4 linked regions of the Ovis aries genome follow. The protein of the gene in region 3 interacts with the protein of the main gene of each other region in a biochemical or structural test. Links are inferred from orthologs where the notes say so. Each region holds a gene or a part of one and is shown on either strand. Other genes may lie near its edges. The genes, in order: WWTR1, YAP1, SHANK1 and CACNA1D.

Region 1 (4,851 bases), on a different chromosome or scaffold from region 3:
CAATCATTCAAAATGTGTATAAAAGAGAATCCTTTTGTTTTTCTTTTGTTTAGGGATCTTTTCCCCTAGCTTTCCTCAGACATTAGGCAAGACTAGCTCTTATTTCATATTTTTAGCAACCAGTTATACCGATCACATATCATATATATTTGTGTATGTATATATATAAACATAGTTCAAAAATCATTGGGGACCAAAACTATTTTCCAAAATTATTGTAAAATATTGGGTCTTTTTCTATTTGTATGTACTACTAAGTCCATTTCTACAAAAGTCACAATAACATATTCAAAACTGCATTTACCTAAGTAAGCAACACAACATGCTGCTTCAGACCTTTATATAGTATATAAGGGCTGGAGCTAATGGTAAAGAACTTGCCTGCCAATTCAGGAGACACAAGAGATGCCAGTTCAGTCCCTGGGTTGAGAAGATCCCCTGAAGGAGGTCAAGGCAACCCACTCCCATATTCTTGCCTGGAGATTCCCATGGACAGAGGACTCTGGCAGGCTGCAGTCCATAGGGTTGCAAAGAGTCAGAAATGACTTTGCACATACACACAGTATATAAACTAATGCCATCCTTCAGAACAATATCATCACACTTAGAAAAATGTCATGCGATTACATAACATACTTGAATTCCACCAACTATTTAGATCAAAGCACTCAGTATGTGTCCACACTAGCACTCATTCACCAGAAGACCAGTTGTGGACTAGAATGATCAGCAACTCTGTTTCCGACAAGGGCTTCTCAGCGCTACATCAACCCCACCAGCAACAAAGAACTCCTTCTTGCACAAGATGTCAACAGCTTTGGGATGGAGAAGAAATAACTGGCTACCAGTATGAGTCAAATGGTTGGCTATTATAAGCCTTCATCCATCACTGTATTTGTTATCAGGTCCTCTCATAGCAATCAAAGTATCAAATATTATCTTATTAAAATTGCACATAACTTCTAAACTAAGGCTACTCTATTTTATACATACATATATATATATATATATATATATATATATATATATATGTAGGCTTTAAAATAAAGTCTAAGGCAAGTTCTCAGAAGAGGAGTTTTCCACCACGGCAGTCAACAGTCAGCCAGTGCAGGCAATCCTGAACCAAGTGCTCCAGTTGGCAGGACTTCTATCCAGGCCACTGATGGCCTGACCCCCCATGACCTCACTGGTTATGTTTCAAGTTCTAGCTTGGCTTCTCCTCCAGAATATAATTATTTTAGGGTACCACAATTGAAGCAACCTTCTTTATGCCTGTGGAGTCTAATTCCACTCGAATGTAAAATTCACTACATGGAAAAGTCAGAACAACCTGTCGGGAAATACGACAAAGCAGCTCCCAATCGATGATATTCTAGGTTACCGAGTGCAACACAATAGAACTCCTGACCCAATTTCCACACGATTGATTTGTCCAGCCCACGGCTACTTCACCACGCAGTTCCTAATTACATCACTGGGGGGTGCTGTATGGTTATTACGTCACCGAACGGGGAGCTGTAAGGCCTAAGTCAGTGTTCCCTTTTCCAATGGAGAGACAGCAGACCACCTACAGTAACAAAAGTTCCTCTCTCCTCCCCAAGCCTCAGTTCTGTTCTAGAACTATCTTGATGTCACATCGCAGTGCACCAGGCTAGGAGTTACCTGACTTGGAGTGGGCCGGAAAGGGAGTAGCGTTTGGGTCCAGAAGTCAAAGTACTCCAGTATCAGTACTCCAGACTCAACGCATCTATGTGTTTCACGAGAATTCTGCCCAAGTGCTTTTTTCTTCTACCTCGAAGAATTTTCATGTCCTGAAAATCTCGCAACTTCCCGGATCCTGGATGAACTCTACCAGACCCAGCTTCTGATCCCTTACAATTCCAACACCCTAAAACTAACTCCCACTTCCAGTCTCCCAGATTTCTGGAAAAAAAGCCGTTCAACGACACACATTATCACGCAGGCACACACACGCACGTACGCACGCACCGTCACGAACACGCACAAGAACAAGCGCGCGCGGCCTGGGTATTGTGACTCTGTGTGCCCCCCTTGCTCCAGGCTGACTTACTTGAGGAAGTACCTCTGACCAGTGGCCGTAAAGGTCATCTCCCAGCCCGGGGGCAGCGGTAGCTCGTCGGTCACGTCGTAGGACTGCTGACGGAGATGCGCGTGCTGCTGCGCGGGGCTGACCGCAGCGCCCGCGCCCGTGCCCAGCTGCAGGGACGCGGGCGACGAGTGCGAGCGGACGTGCTGGGCGCCGCCGGCCAGTCGGGGCCCGGGGTGGCCGCCGGACGAGTCGGTGCTCGACTGGCGCGAGTGCGAGCCGGAGTCAGGCTCCTTGAAGAACGATTCGGGCAGGATCTTCTTCCGCCACGAGCTGGGCTTGGGGTTCATCACCGAGTTGAAGAGAGCTTCGAGGTCCGTGTCTAGGTCTTGAGTGACGTGGATCACTTGCTGCCCGGGTGGCGGGAGCGGAGGGGGCGCCGAAGCCGGATTCATCTTCTGCTAGGAGAAAGGAGGTCAGATTAGCTTCTTATTGAAGGTCTGATAATTGAAGAGGAGAACAGAGAGAAGAGACAGATAGGTGTCCGCCTCGGGATCCCAGACACCCAGAACTTGAGACTAGCGGGGTGGGGGAGGGGTCCCTCCTGGCCTCCAGAATTATGCAACTTTCTTGAAGCCAAGAAGTTACCAGGAAAGGGGGAGGGGGTGTCTGCTGGGAGTTAACTGCACTGGAGACGCTAATGAAACTGCTGGTGTCTAAGGACAGGTCGAAATTTTCCAGAGCAGGCAGCGCCCTCAAAGTCTCAACCCGAGCCAACTCCAAGACGTCTCCACTCGGGAAGCCCGAGGAGCCGGGCGCCCCGGCGTGGTGCGGGGTGAACGGGCGCGCGCCAGCGGGCACTACCTGGACGCGCAGCGAATCCGAGTCTGGGCGTGCGGTGGCCGCCGTCCCGCCCGAACTCGCTGTTGGGCCTGGGTCGCTCGGCTGCGTCCCGAGCTTGCAGGGCTGGAGCTGGGGCCCGGCTGGCAAATCCCGACCCTACTCGGTGTCTGGCAGCCGAGAGGCTTCGGCTCTCACATCCCCCGAACTGGCCTCAGGCGCTCGCGCTCCGCGGAGAAGCGGAGAAGCAGACAGCGCGGCCGCCGCGGATCCCGGACTGTCCCATAAACAAAGTTTGGAGCAAACTCCCACTCCCAGGAAAGAGGCGGGCCCGAAAGTTAAGCTGTTGAATTATGCATGACCTCCAAGTCCGGAGCCAGCCTACCCTCTCTCGTCCCTCCCCTTCCTCCTCCTCCTCCTTCCACCCTGGCACCAGAAAACCCTGGGCGTGCTGGGTACTCTGCAGGGTAAGAGGAGATGGGTGCCCCCCGCCCACTCCTCCTGGACTGGCTGACCTCTCTCGCGGAACCCTGGATCTGCATTCCTTTGAGTTTACCACGGACTTGGGGCGGGATCAAAGGGAAAGTGGCCCGAGCCTGTTTAATCAAGGACTTGTGGACCGAAACCAGGCTGGGGGCGGCGGAAGACACGCGAGTGAGGGACCCAAACAGAGGAAGGGCGGGTCCTGGGTGCCGCGCCTTCTCTTCGTGCCGGGTACCGAGGCCGGGAGCCAGGAGCGCGGCATTGATCAGTGATTCTGCCTAAGGGCGGGCCCGGGTACGCTCCGACGCGAGGAGACACCAGCGAGGCCAGCCTTTCCACGGGAGGCTGCATGTGACCATATTTGGTCTGGCGAGGAGGCATCTCGGCTGTTTGGCTTTCAATTGTCTGCTCGTGCGCAGACAGTGCCCAGAAAGTGCCTCTGTCGCTAGGGATGCGACTTCGCCAACTAGTTCACTGTAAACAAACCAACCTTGAAACCATTTATCAGTTCTTCTCTCCTCTCCAGGGTAACTCGGGTCACCAGGGGTTGAGAAGAAACCTGGGCAAATCTTCGGTGCTGGAAAAGGACAGCAAGGGGCCCCCCTCTCTCGCGACATCCTTGCGGGTCGTGGGAGGATTGGAATGTCCCTGACGCCCTCCAGAGAGCCTGGAGCCTGGATAGAACCGGAACAGGTGGCAGGGAGTAGAGAGGGTGCGCCAGTGACCCGGAAAAAACCACCCACCCTCCCACCGACTGGATCTGGGCGTGGGCTGGAGACCCCCTACTTCTAGGTCTGGCCTGGCAAGACAGCTGCGGGAAGTAGGAGGCGGCCTGGCCCTCCGAAGCAGCTCAGTTCCTTCTGTTCCTTGTCCCCTCCCGTCGAGGGGAAGGGGAGAGTGGCTTCGAGATAAATCCGGCTTCAGAAAACCCCTACCCCGCCCCACCCTACTGGATTCAAACATAAGCTTATGAAATAAGTCACATGAGACAATATATGTAAAGCACTTTGCAGACATACCTGCCTACATGCCTTTTTGTTAAATGAAAGTGCAAGTATTGTGCCTCCACATTTTTATAAGAGTAGATCAAAATTAAAATCTGGAGTTGCTGTGAAGGAGAAAAATGTATGGGAAAGACAAGGCCATCCTGTAGTTTTGCCATGGAAAGGGTAGGAGTATTCAGAGCACATTCCCTGAATGGCTGCTCCCTGTCATTGCCCAAAATAGAGCAGAAGCCACCTATGTGAGCCCCCTTCTTCATTATCTATATCTGAGGGTGTGCTCCTCACAGACTGGGAAAAATCAAGGCTGCCTGAGAGATCACTATCCAAGGTAAGCAGAGCATGGCTCCTCCAGGAGACTGTTTTCCATCAGCAAGTCCTCTGCCCATAGGACCAACAGAGGGAAGGGGAAGCTGCTGCAGGTCACTCCATGGGAAGTAGCATCTTTGCAAGCTATTCTCAAAAGCCACCACAGTTGCA
Region 2 (4,347 bases), on a different chromosome or scaffold from region 3:
GGTTTTGATGGTCTTCAATTCACACGTGAAATTTTATTTACTTACACCATCTAGTACTCAGTAACGACAAAATGAAAAGCAAGCAATGACAACAGGCTGCGTAAAACGTACCCTGAAATTACTTTATTTCTTCCAATAGCTATATAATTATATTCTCGATGGTGCTACCTTGTTCCGGTGATAAAGTTTTATTTAAATGAAAAATATCTTTCCTTTATAGTAATATGTTAAAAGTCTGTCAGAGGTATAGTAAACTTGTTAATGTGCTTCCTTTTTCCACTTTCTTAAAGGCAGATGAGGAAATACTTCTTTCAAGACCACTTCATGACACCATATCCTGGCATTCTCCTTCTTCTTTTAGGGCCAACCACACCAGATTATAGTGGCAGGTTACTGACAGCTCAGTTTACAAGTATGGCGGCCTGGAGTCCTCATGGCTCAGTTTAATTCTTGGGTACCAGTTCTTCAAACCTCAAATCAGAGTTCAATCACTGTATCAAGTTCATCTATTTCCATTAACACTCAAGTGACACTATCAAAATATAACCCTCATGAAGAAAACAGTACCTTGTTCAAATGCCTACATCCTGGCAACAAAAATGTAGCCTATAATGGTATTTTTAATGCCTGTTCTTAGTATGCTATGATTTAGGGCGGGGCAGTAGTAGAGGCACTTGTATTCCATGTTTGTAAATAAAGAGAATGTCTGGGGCGGGGGTGAGGGCAAGTATAAGAACTGGTTAGCTATTTACATCCAGAAAAGAGAACTAGAGAAATGGGAAAAGGAGATTTTATTTTCACTTTGTACACTTTCAAAACCACATTGTGTTTTTATTACCCAAAATATTTATATAAAAATTTTAAAATATACTAAGATCATACCCCCAAAATCTAAACTTTAGCTTTTGTCACTCTGAAATTTGAGATGATATGGCACAGAAAAACCAGTATTTCTGAAAGAAAACTGACAGAAATGGCCCTAAAGGTTTCCAGCTCTCTAATGTTAGAATCTGCCCTTCCCAACGTGAAAAAACAACCACAAGCAGGTAATTTTAAGGCACTTGGGGATCTTCTAAACTTGGGATAGCCTGTGTTACATTTTAAATAAAACACATCTTAGATTCAGCAATAGTGAAACACAGCTGTCATTTGAGAGGTATCATACTGGTATATTATCATACTGGTATATTCTCCTAGACAAATAATTTGTTTAAAGTAAAAGATGTTTCTCCCCAAGTGATGTTCCAGAGTTTCTTCCTTAGCGAAATCTTCAGATATTAAATAGTCTGCAATTCCCTGTACAGACATACCTCGTTTTATTGCACTTCACAGACACTGCATTTTTTTTTTTAAAAACACATCAAACGTTTGTGGCAACCCTGCGACTAGCAAGTCTATCAGAGCCATTTTTCTAAAAGCAATTGCTCACTTCACGCCTTGGTGTCATATTTTGGTAATTCTCACAATATTTTGGCCTTTTTCATTATTATTTTATTTATAACAGTGATCTGTGATGTTACAGCAAAAAGATGACTCACTGGAAGCTCAGATGATGGCTAGCATTTTTTCAGCAGTTAAGTACTTTTAAAAAATGTTCACTGTTAAGACATAACGCTGTTACACACTTAAGACTATAGTATGGTATAAACATTAACGTCTATATGCACCAGCAAACCCCCGAATTCATGTGATTCACTTTCCTGTAATACTCGCTTTCCTGTGGTGGTCTGGGACTGATGGGCAATATCTCCGAGGTATGCCTGTATATTTGAGGAAAAGCACCCTTGCTTCCTTTGCCTTCTGCTTGACTGCAGTGAACATGGCCCAAACGCCTCTGTGTGACACAGGTTTACAAGTGACAGCCCACGTGCTCAGAGGCCAGCAGAGAAACTAAGACAGGGACAGAGCTGGACAGAGTGTTTCTGTGTCACTCTAGTTTTGGAGAAACAACATTCCTCTGTAACCAACAAATGCCAAAATGAAACACACCCAGCTTCACGTAGGAAAACAAAGCCCCAAGAGTGGAAGGCTGGTCTCTAACCTGGGGCCTCACCTGCCGAAGCAGTTCTTGCTGCTTCAGTCGCAGTCTTTCTTTCTCCATCTGCAACTGCTGCAGCCGCATCTGTTGCTGCTGGTTGGAACTGCCACCACCCAGGACTCCTCCCTGTGGGCTCTGGGGGGCCAGCGGGGGTGGCTGTTTCACTGGAGCACTTTGACTGATTCTCTGGTTCATGGCTGCAAGGAAACAGAAGATCTGTTCTAAAAAACTAGCCAAGAAAAAGGATTTTTTGTTATTCACAAGCATGATGGGGACATTCAACATAGCCTCTTCTGTAGTAAGATCAGAAATAACCTAAAAACCCACCAATAGTACAAAGGGTACATCAGTTTCTTATTATTACAGACATCCTTGTCATTAGTGTAGTATGCGGCCTTAAGATGAAAGAAACAAGCAGCAGCTCTAACAGGCAATGGCGCGGAGAAGTCTAAGGCACACAAAGGTAAAGGCACAGTACAGAACAGGACAGGCAGAGGAGGGCTGTACTGATATATTACATGCATATCCAGAGAATCTCAATCGAAGGACAGATAAGAAGCAATCAACACCTGCTGGCTCTGTAGCTGGGGAACTGGGTGACTAAAGAACTGACGTTCAAGAGAGACATTTTTTGTAACTTTTCAAGTTTGAATAATGTGAATGCACCGCTTATTATAAAATATATATCCAATTAAAAATAAATCCCTCAAACTAACTAAGAGAAAGCAATCTAAGCAGTAAAGTTCATTATTAATCTTTAAATACAATGCTAACTAACAAATCAAGTAGGTTAGATGCATGCTCCAAATAAAGCCTACATCTGGACGGCACAGATTGGTCTCATTCAACACCACTGTACCCCCCACACAGCCAAGGTAGTCAGTTACTTTTTGAGTTGAACCTGTAATACACCATTTGACAATTAGATTGGATTCTTATAATAGTGAATTTCTGTCACTGATAAAACACTGATCAAACTATGGATTGTGTTAGCCTCAGTAAGCAGATGCAAGTTTTATTACGTGAAAATGGCAATAAGAATGATACATTACCTTTTCAGACATCTATTCAACTTTTTAAGGTGACATTTCAGGTCACTGTTTAATACATATGACACTTGAAGAAATGACACTAATCTTTTACAACCTTTTGCAGAGAACAGCAAAGAAGGAAACTTCACGCTTTTGTGACCAGCATATCCCTAATACCTTACGAAGACACTAAAACAAAGAAAAATCATAGATGGCTCTCTCTCATCAACCTTGCTACCAAAATCTGAAATGATTCACTGGTGGTGCTCATGACTTACTAGACCCTGGCCACAAAGCAAACTCCTTGTGATGATCTTCACATGTCCTCGGCTGGACCACAGGTACAGCTCTTGGAGGCCACCTGAACAAACCTCTTCCAGGGCACTGCCTTGGGACTCTGTCTACTGACATTTCTCACCTGTCATTTTTTATTTACAAATTTATATCTTCTCTTCCCAGGTGGCACCAGTGGTAAAGAACCCTCCTGTCAATGCAGGAGACCTAAGAGACATGGGTTCAGTCCCTGGGTCAGGAAGATGCCCTGGAGGAGGGAATGGCAACCCACTCCAGTGTTCTTGTCTGGAGAATCCCGTGGACAGAAGCCTGGCGGGCTACAGCCCACAGGGTCGCAAGCAGCTGGACACGACTGAAGCGACTGAGCACACACATCTTCTCTCAAACACGTGCCTCAGGAGCGGGGACAGAATCCCAACCGCACATATATTCTTAGTGCCTAGACCAGCAACTTGGCATAAAATCTGTGTGGGGAAACAACACTGAAATGATTCTAAGCCCTTTCATTATGCACTGAGGCAGAAATTTAACTTTTTAAAAGATATGGCAATACAGAAATCCTACCAATTTCCCCATAGACTACCAACTCTTCTATGTGGCAGTATAACATTGATTTGAAACCAAGGATATTAGAAAAAAGGAAAATTACAGACCAATCTTCTCCGAGAATGCCTTAGTTCAATTCAACCTACTGAGATATTAATATAAAGTCACAACATTTTTGTTTTTACTTTCCCCCTCTATTGTTCCTGTATTTCTTCTAACTTTTAAAAACTTTGGCCATGGCAGATGGCATGGGGGATCTTAGTTCAATGCCCTGACCAGAGATTGAACCCACGCCTCTTGCTTTGGAAGCAGGGGGTCATAGCCACTGGACTGCCAGGGCTCTTTTCCCAACTTCTTCAGTTGAACTCACTTAGTCAAGTCTTTTCTTAGAATACTTAAGTCAACAAATTTACCTTTAAGGACTGCTTTTCTGGCATG
Region 3 (4,794 bases):
CCCTAAGCGTGGCCACGGCCCCCTCCCCTTCTGGGTACCCAGCAGAGCCTCCCCTACTTGGCCCTGGCGGAGACCCCCTGGCCTTCTCCTACCCGGCGACTCCACTCCCACCTCCAGACCTGGGGCTGGCAGCCACTCCCCCTCTGCTGACCCCGGCTGACCCCCTCCCCCAGCCTCCACGGACTCCTGAAAGCAAAGCTCGCCGGGTCCCCCGGCGCGTGCGGCTGCCCCCAACCCCCAGGACCAGCTCGGGCCCCTCCCCCTCAGGCCCCGAGGGAGGGAGCGGGCACACTCCGCCGGGGCGGCATGAATCAAACGCTCCGCGGCTAAGAATAGCTGGCACGCAGCTGGTACCGAGACGGGCTGAGGAATCGGCGAGGGGGGGGGGAAGAAAGGGGGGAGAGGGGGTGCCCTGGGAGGCTGCGGGGGTACGGCGGGGGGAGGCTGCCGGCGTGGCCGAGAGCCGGCCCGGGAGAATGAATGGAGGCGGAGAGAGGAGGGGAGAGGCGGGCAGAGGGAGCCCGGGCTGGGGCCGAGAAACTGGTGGGGGAGAGCCCGGGTCCGCGGAGAGGGGGCGGAGGCCCCCAGGAGCAGGACTCGGGGGCGGGAGCCGAGGGGGCGCGCCGGCCGGTGGGGAAGGAAGCGGGGACCGGGTTGGGATGCGGGGAGCTCGTGAAAGGGTGGGAGGGGATTGGACGAGTCTGGAAGGAGAAGCCGAAACCACAGGGGGTCGAAGGGGGCGGCGGAGGCCGAGGCTCAGATCCCCGCTGGAGGGTGTGGGCGCCGGAATGACCTCGGCGAGGGGCCTCGAGGGGTGGGGCCGCAGGAGGGGTCCAGGAGGCCCAGGTGGGCCGCGATGGGCGAGGCGGGGGAGTGGCCGGGCCGGGCTGGCCGGGAGGCGGGTACCGCGACCGAACCCTCGGCCCCGGAGCGCGGGGAGGCGGGTTCGGGCAGGGGGCTACGGGGCCGCATGGCCCCAGCAAGTCCGCGATCCGGGACGGGGCACGGGGGACCCGGGCGTAACCCAATTGGCGTCGCCCGGGGCAACGCTCCCCTCCTCACCCCCGCCCCCCACCGCACACCCGGGCCGGGAGCCCGGCGCTCGGCCAAGGACGTCCAGGGCGCCCCCGCCCCCGCCCGCGGCCCCGGGCCCGCGCTTCCCCCCCCAACCCAGACCCCCGGTTTTCGGCCCCCTTACCTGCCTGGCGGGGCTGCTGAGTCCCGGTCGGCGGCGCCCGCGGCCCCTCCCCCTCCCCCACCCCCCCCCCCCCCGGAGACGGGGGACCCTCAGGCCATGCCCCACCGCCCCGGAGGGCGAGCGGGCCCGGGGAGGGGGCGGGCGGGGGCCGGGGGGGCGGGCGGGGGGGCCGCGGACCTCACCCCCCCCGCGGGCCGGGCCTGGCCATCCGCAGAGCGCCCCCCCTTGCGCCGCGGCCGCCGCGCCCCTCCTAGCTAGCCCGCCCCCGGCTCGGTCCGGCCGGCTCCGGGCGCCGCGTCTTCGCCGGCTCCTCTCCTCGGCCTCAGGCCGCCGCCGCCGCCGCCGCCGCCGCCGCCGCCGCCCGCTCCGCGCCTCCTCTGCCTCCCGGCTCGCTCTCTCGCTCTCGCTGTCTCTCCCTCACCCGGACTCTCCCTCTCTCTCCCTCCCTCTCTCCCTCCCTCCGCCCTCTCCCCTCCCTCCGGGAGCCGGCGGAGGAGACATCGCCCCTCCCAGCGCCCCCAAACCTCGCCCATCCCCCCCCGCCGGCTCCGCCCCCTCCCCTGCCCTCCCCCACCGCTCCTCTCCGCCGCCAGATCCCCGAACCCTGACTCCACCCCTGCTTGCCCCAGTACCCCGGCGATGGGGCTCCGCCCCCCTAAGGGTACCTCTCCCCGCACCCCCCCAGGACCGCCCCTTCCCAGGGCGCCCCCACCACCTCTACACACAGTAGGGTGCAATTAAGTATTCGTTGCTAGACTCCACACCCCCAAACTGGATGGTGAGAGCTATAGATTTCTGTCCTGTCCGCCCAGCACACACACACCTTCCCGCAAGGCACAGGTGCAGCGAGTCGCTCCCCAGCCCTGCCCCTGCAGACGTCTCCACATACACATCTTCTCCAGGGCGTGCGGGCTCTCACAGGATACATTACCATGAGCACAGCCAGCTACATCATGTACATATCACACCCGTGTGTCGGAGCATGCACACGGCAGAGCACACGCGTCTACCCACCCCACACACGGGCACGCAGCCCGCTGTGCTTGCTCAGAGCTCCAGCTCACACGCAACCCTGAAACAGAGACACAGAACCACAGGGAGACGTGTGCTTTGTCTCCATCACATTCACCCACCGTGCCCTGGCCGGCCATCACACAGGTGTGCACACGCCCATCGAGAGGCACGACCCTGCACCACCGCTTCCTTCCCGATAATTATCTCTGACATTTCTTGAGCACTTCCTGTGTGCCCGGCTCTGTGCTGGGTTTACTCCTCAACTTTGCACACCGTAGTCCTCCGGACTAGGGACTTGCACCATCCCCATTTATGACGAGAGGGGGAAACTGAGGCCCAGAGAGGTTAAGCAATTTGCCCACGGTCACCCAGCCAGCAAGAGGTGGTGGCCAGAATCAGAGACAGATGGCCTGGCTCAAAGTCCCCCTACTGTGTGCTGGGGTTCACTACTGGCCACTCCATAGTGATATCTCCACTGCATATCTTTCTTTGTCACACGCGATCCCCCCAGCCATCTCTGCATGGCGTGTGGGACACACCTGCAGAGACCGGGCTGATCGCATAGGGCAGCGGTGATTGCGTTGCCACAGCCCAGGCCCCTACCCTTCTCCCAGCTCCAACAGCTCCCCTGGGGGCCATCAGCTGGAACCCACGCACCTGCGGAGGGCAGTTCCAGGCAGCCTCTGGGTGCGTGTCCAGCTGCAGGCTCTGGGGTGCCACAGGATGAGCGGGAACAGGTGCCAGCCCAGCTGCCCCAGGAGACCCAGTTCTGGATTCACCCCTATCAGCCCAGGTGGTGAGCAGCTGGGCCTGGGGAGAAAACAGCTGCTTGTGTGTCGGCACCAGCAGTGAGAGGGGTTATGTACCCTTTCTATGGTTTATGAGGCTTTTCTCGGCCGGGACATCAGCTCTCGGTGAGGGGTCCCCAGGCTCCTCATGGGTGCACAAGAGAGGCCCGAGCTCTGAGGCAGTGGGCAGCCTGCCCAAGGTCACACTGCCCTTTGCTTTCTTGGAAAATGGAAAAGTCTGGCTGTGTTGATTTCCAAGGTCCCAGCCTGGGGCTCCCGGCAGCTAAGGGCAGATGCCCTGCTCGTGCCAGGAGCCAGAAGCTTCTGCTTGCTGCCGCTGCTGCGCTGGTAACCTCCAGCAGGCCCAGCTGTCCCCTCTCTGAGCTTCGGTGTCCCCCCTGGAAGAGTGGGCCCTGCGATCCTGGCACTGCCCGCCTGGCTGAAGCTGGGGAAGCCCTACATGACTCACGGGTCTGGCATGGAGTAGGCATGGCCAGCCTCCTGCTGCTCCTGCCTCTGCAGCCTCCCCACCACTGCCCTCATCACCTCTACCCTGGTCGCCAGGCACCCCCACCCCACCCCCAGGGCCACAGGAAACCAGAGTTTCCACTTAAACACATTCATGGAGGGTTCAGTCTTTTGGCTGAGCTGTGACCCCGCTGCCAGGGAAGGCTCCTTTCCTTGTTCAATTGACTGAGTACCTACTATGTGCTGGGTTGGCCCTGTCCTAGCTTCAAGGATACAGCCATGAACAGGGATGCCTGCCTTCGTTGGCGACAGACAGACACCAAACAGGTAAACAAGCCAGCAAGACAAGGCTGGTCTTGATTCAGCCAAAAAGATAAAAGGGGGTGTTTGAATAAACTATCCGAGGAAGGCCTCTCTGAGCTGAGACCTCAGTGATGAGAAGGAGCTGGGGAGAAGAGCCTTCTAGAAGGAGGAAAAGGCTGGTGCAAAAGCTCTGAAGCGGGAAGGAGCTTAGCATTCAGGAAGTAGCAAAGAGATCAGTGTGGCTGGAGCTTGGAGGGGGGCAGTGAAGGGAGTGGGGGTGATGAGTTTGCAGAGGTGCAAAGGACCCACCCTTCCCTGCCCACCCCCAGACTGGGCAGGCCAGGCCTGTGCTGAGGCCAAGGTTTGGCTTCACTCCCTCACATGATGGGAAGCTGGGGGGGAGCAGGGGAGTGGGGAGTGATGTGATCTGATTTACGGTTTGGAAGCATTGCTCTGGCTGCGGCAGGCTGCGTGGATTGGAGGGGCTCTGGAGGAAGGAGGAGGAGAGGCAGGAGGAGAGGACTGCAGTGGTCCAGGCGGGAGATGAAGTAGCTCTCAACGCTCAGAGCTCTCTGTGCACCCAGCCCAGCAGCTGCTTACTCCACCTCCTGGAGAAAGCTTCTCGGACCCCACCCAATCTCCACCCTCTCCTCTGCCCCCACCCCTCACCCCGATGGAGCTGTCTGTGGGGTCTGTGAACAGCTGGAATTCCCCGTGTCACCCCCAACCAGGACCCAGACTGCAGGAGGCTTCCAGGAAAGCATGGCAGATGGATCCAAGAGCCCCACCTTTCTGGGGGCTGCACACAAGCCACACGTGTGCTCTTTGCACAGATCCCCACAGACAGGCACAGATGCTCATCTGGATCTGGGGCAAGGGCCTGGAGGGCAGGATGGGAGATCTGGGGGGCAGGAGGTGCTCAAGAGCCTGAGAATACTATGAGAGCCTCCTCCCGCAGGGTGTGTGGGCAACGGTGGCCACAGGATAATAACAACCTTAGCAAGACCTTGAGGTCTCCCCTGA
Region 4 (4,347 bases), on a different chromosome or scaffold from region 3:
ATCCTAGGTGCTGCCAGCTGATGAAACCCACCAAGGGTGGTGTTTCTATGGTTTAGTAGCTAAGTCATGTCCGACTCTTGCGACCCCATGGACTGCAGCATGCCAATCCCTGGTGGCTGGCATGATGTTTTTATACTTGTGCTTTAAGCACCATCCTTGCTGCTAAGAAGTGGGTGGTTATCCAGGTTCAGAAGAGGCATCCTGGCTCTGGAGCCTACCCACCCTCAGGACCACCTCCCCGGTGCCACCGTCCCTCCCATGCAGACTTCGCAGCCACACTCACTGCCTCCACCAGGCTGTCGGCACTCCTCTGCTTGTCGCTGTTCTTGCTGTGGAAGCTGCTGGGGACGGTCAGGCTGGCTGGTGTGAACGTCCGATAGGAGACGCTGGGCTCGTCCGTGTACCATGAGCTGCGGTGCAGGGACGGGAGGCTGCCGTTGACCTGGTCTGGGGCCTCTGGCCGCTCGACCTGGATCAGCGGGGTATAGCACGGCGTCCAGTCCCGATACGACGGCGTGGCCGGGGGGGTGGCCCACGACCGGGTGGAGTGGCTGGGCGAGTACTTCTGGGCTTTACTGGAATCTAGGCCGGCGACTGCCATGATCTGAGGAGATAGAGGAAGCGGGGTGAGGTCCTCAGGGGTCCCAGCCTCGGGTGCCCTCAGAACAGGCCAGGCTCAAGGCCCTGGTTTATAGGGGCTTCCAAAGGATACAGCACTCTGAGTAATTCAATGAACTGGCTGTAAAAACTTGGCTGTCTAGCAGACTGTGCTTTCTTTTGCCCCCAGTCTATCTCTTGATCCCCAGGTGGTAATCAGTTATTCGTGAAATTGCTTAGAAGCATGAAGACGACACACAAGTCGTGGAGTACAAACACGCCACCTGAATGACTCTGGGTTCGAATAGGGAAGTGCACTTAGGGCAAGCTGACGGCACCTAGCGCTCAGAGAAATGGGTTGGTTCTCTCTCGGGCAACTCGTCTGCAGCTGGCACTCTGCTTAGAAGCACTACCGGGTACAAGCCTGCTTCTTCCACCTACAGCGGTGCCACGGCAGGCCTGCCCTGCATCCTTCTCTGCAAGGGGCACAGGGGACAGTGAGGCCAGGTCTGTGGCCAAGTCAGAAGCCAGGACCACCCAAGGGAAGCACACACAAGCCCACAGGGACCCCCATGCCCACTTAGTGTGTGGCATGTGATGCCTGGGGCCTTCCCAAAGTTTGTCCTCCATCCACAACAGAGTAGGACACAGCAATTAATGTAAAAAGTGGAAGGCGAAAAGGGACAAGGTTGGCAGAAAGACCAGAACAGAAACTCTGAGGCGGCAGCTAGTGTTTATGTGCTCAGGACACTGGGGTCCCTTCCCTGGAGCTGCCCGGGGGGCCGGCTCACCTGTTGCTGCATCAGGTGCAGAGGCAGGGCCGTGCGGGGCGGGAAGGCGGGCGACGGCGGGACCTCCTCCTGGCTGCTCTGCCGGCGCAGGCACTCAAAGTTGAAGGAGGACCTGCGCGGGGCTGAGAAGTGAAGCACACGTGTGACGCCGGAACCAGCGGTCAGGCCCTGGGCTCTGGGGGTCGGGGCAGCCCACCTGGATGTCCAGCAGCGGGGGCCCAGGAGGAAGCGAGCAAGGCATCCAGAGAAAAGCACCAGGCATGGTGGCGGGAGTGGGGGGTTGTCTCAGAAGTTCAGGAAGAGAAAGCAGCCCAACTGAGGGGCGTTTCCAAAAACAGCAAGTTGATGTCTCGGCCCCCACACAGCTGTTCTCTCAGGAGGAGCCAGAGAGCCATGCTCTGACTCGAGGCCCCTGGCCCTGCACGTGGCAGGGACGCAGCGTCTCAGGTCAAATACATGACCTCACTGGAGAACCCACAGGTGCCTGCCGACTGCCTGTGCTCCTCTTCCCGAGCATCCCTGGGGCCGGAGTGTCACGTGGGTGCTCCCAGGCTGTGACCACCCTTCTGTCTGCTACCTGCCCTAACAGCTCAGCCAGATAACAGGCAGATCCCCTGTGGGGCAAAGACCCAGCTTCCCTAGCCGGGAAGACAGAACACACAGGAAAGGACACCTTGAACTACAAAGAATGTGGCTGCTTGTCCTTAATAGACCACAAACAGGCTTCCCAGGTGGTGCACTGGTAAAGAATCTGCCTGCCGATGCAGGAGACGCAGGAGACACGGGTTTGATCCCTGGGTCAGGAAGATCCCCTGGAGAAGGAAATGGGAACCCACTCCAGTGTTCTTGCCTGGGAAATCCCATGGACAGAGGAGCCTGGTGGGCTACAGGCCATTGGGTCGCACAGAGTCAGACATGCCTGAGCACCTATGCATTTCCTGTTAACAGCCACTCCAAACAGAGGCTTCTAGACAGGCTGAGTGATGACAAGGTGATCCAGGCTCGAGGCCCCCCAGGGTGCCAGGCCCAGGAGATCAGTCTAAATTCTGGGCCCCTGTGCACAGGCCAGAGGGCTCCCCAGGACACCTCTTGTTACTGGTGGCCTGCAAGGCAGCATTGAGTCACCTTGACATTCCTTTCTTGAACTCTGCTTTCTAAGCTCACAGGGCATTTATCCTACCCTAGCACAACTCCACACACCTCTGACTCTTACACTGGAAAACTGCAGGGACCAGCCTGGGGAGCCCCTGTGGGCATCCTGGGAGGCACGTGAAGCAGCAGAGCTCTCTTGGTGGAGGTCTGGCTCCAAAAGTGCATGGATACCAGAGATAGCCCATGCCAGCCACTGCTCAACCAGGCGGGAAACCCTACAGACAACCAGCCTGTCTCGCAGGCCTGTTGTACACCATGCAGCCTTGCTGAGCCTCCTGGTCTAGCTGCTTCTGGGGAACATGGACACCTGCCATCCACTCCAGATGGCCTTCCTCCCACAGGCTGCCCGGGGCCAAACTCAAGTGTTCTAAGAGAAGGACAGGGTTCCCAGGTTAGCACCACCTCTAGCTTCCTCCCGGGTCAGGTGGTGGGACCAGAGGCTCAAGCCAAGAAAGGAAAACTACCACCTCCACCATTCAGAGAGCACCTTTCAGTTTTGAAAAGGGATCCACCTATGCCTGTCATCTTATTTGCTCTGCACAACCAGCCCTAATGCAGAGAGCAACCTCTCTGGAGCTGAGCACATAGGAATTCCATTGGTCTCCCTGCCCCAGATCTGAATACATGGGCAGGAGAGCAAATACAATGCATTTTACCTATTCACACTTATAAATAAAGAGGGCAGCCAGCTGCCCACTCAGGGTCCTTGACTCACGGACGATCATGACCACCCAAGGGAGAAAAGGCGGTCACAGGAGGGCATTGGCACTCATGGGGCCCGGGGCTCAGCCCCACCTGCACAGGCGCCATCCAGGACTGACAGAGCCCAGCACTGCTCTGTTCAGCAGCTTGTGTTTGGGGTTGTGAAATTAAATATTAACCATGGATATGGGTCTGACTGCACTTGCCCACAGGACACTGACAGCTGGGGAGAGACAGGCCTGGGCACCACCCAGCTGAACTTACTATGCACAGAGATGGCAGACTCAGAGCCGATGTGTCTCATTTATTTCTGGTGACTGATTAGAGTCCTACCCCAAAATACACCTCATTCCTCAGCAAAGCCATAAGTGGATATCCCTTATCCATCAGCAAAATGTCCACGTGTCCAAAATCAAGCTGCCCAGCCAGGAGATGGCAGGAGCTGCTGCTTCATCTCTTTCCCCAGCCCACGGTCCTCACTGGGGGTAACCCAGCTCTCTTGGCAGTATTGGTGATGCCACATGTACCCAAAAACCAGCTGGCCCCTGCCCCTTCTCTGCAGGACAGGATTCCCCGGCCCTGGGATGGGAGTGCCTACCCTAGCGGTCACCACCAAGGCCCCAGCAGGGGCACTGGCAGACCAAGGCAAAGGTAGGGGAGAAGAGGGCAGTGAGGTGAGACAGGAGGAGGCATGGGCACCACAAACCCTCACGTGCTCCTCGGAGCCCTGGGCCTTGGTAAGAGGCTTGGGCTCAAGTCCACTCAGCAGGCAGGCCCATCTGGGGAGTGAGCCTGTCGACACCATGGTGCAGGACTTGCCTACCCATCAGGGCAGACCCCAAGCTCAAAGGCAATGATGATGCGCCCAGAAAGCCCCGCATCAAGTGCTACAAACTGTGCAACCATGGAGCCCACACTGCCTTCCCTGTTCTCAGCACTGGAGCACTTCCAGCCCTATCATGTGGCACGTGGATGAGGAAGAAAAGAAAACCAACAGCCTCTCCATCCAGGGGGCTGGTGTTGAGGACTGAAGGCCCCTGACCATGTCCAGCCCACCCCCCGGGCTGGGGCAGGCGGACAGACACACTACCCTCTGCGAGCCTGG

The links.
Region 1: the proteins of SHANK1 (region 3) and WWTR1 interact in a test that uses a peptide from one of them, tested with the Homo sapiens proteins (2 studies listed by IntAct, with this or other methods). The link is inferred for Ovis aries from reciprocal best matches to the Homo sapiens genes SHANK1 and WWTR1.
Region 2: the proteins of SHANK1 (region 3) and YAP1 interact in a test that uses a peptide from one of them, tested with the Homo sapiens proteins (2 studies listed by IntAct, with this or other methods). The link is inferred for Ovis aries from reciprocal best matches to the Homo sapiens genes SHANK1 and YAP1.
Region 4: the proteins of SHANK1 (region 3) and CACNA1D interact in a biophysical measurement, tested with the Homo sapiens proteins (2 studies listed by IntAct, with this or other methods). The link is inferred for Ovis aries from reciprocal best matches to the Homo sapiens genes SHANK1 and CACNA1D.

Annotation. Positions count from the first base shown.
Region 1 is NC_056054.1:239,214,211-239,219,061, reverse strand, and holds the start of WWTR1 (WW domain-containing transcription regulator protein 1), read right to left. Parts: upstream 3,167-4,851; 5' UTR 2,912-3,166; intron 2,509-2,911; 5' UTR 2,503-2,508; coding exon 2,072-2,502; intron 1-2,071. UniProt on the Homo sapiens protein: Transcriptional coactivator which acts as a downstream regulatory target in the Hippo signaling pathway that plays a pivotal role in organ size control and tumor suppression by restricting proliferation and promoting apoptosis.
Region 2 is NC_056068.1:6,217,195-6,221,541, forward strand, and holds part of YAP1 (transcriptional coactivator YAP1), read right to left. Parts: intron 2,236-4,347; coding exon 2,042-2,235; intron 1-2,041. UniProt on the Homo sapiens protein: Transcriptional regulator with dual roles as a coactivator and corepressor. Critical downstream regulatory target in the Hippo signaling pathway, crucial for organ size control and tumor suppression by restricting proliferation and promoting apoptosis.
Region 3 is NC_056067.1:56,534,372-56,539,165, forward strand, and holds the start of SHANK1 (SH3 and multiple ankyrin repeat domains protein 1), read right to left. Parts: upstream 2,986-4,794; 5' UTR 2,870-2,985; intron 1,252-2,869; exon of another isoform or gene 1,199-1,251; intron 1-1,198. UniProt on the Homo sapiens protein: Seems to be an adapter protein in the postsynaptic density (PSD) of excitatory synapses that interconnects receptors of the postsynaptic membrane including NMDA-type and metabotropic glutamate receptors via complexes with GKAP/PSD-95 and Homer, respectively, and the actin-based cytoskeleton.
Region 4 is NC_056072.1:47,263,291-47,267,637, forward strand, and holds part of CACNA1D (voltage-dependent L-type calcium channel subunit alpha-1D), read right to left. Parts: intron 1,511-4,347; coding exon 1,389-1,510; intron 605-1,388; coding exon 284-604; intron 1-283. UniProt on the Homo sapiens protein: Voltage-sensitive calcium channels (VSCC) mediate the entry of calcium ions into excitable cells and are also involved in a variety of calcium-dependent processes, including muscle contraction, hormone or neurotransmitter release, gene expression, cell motility, cell division and cell death.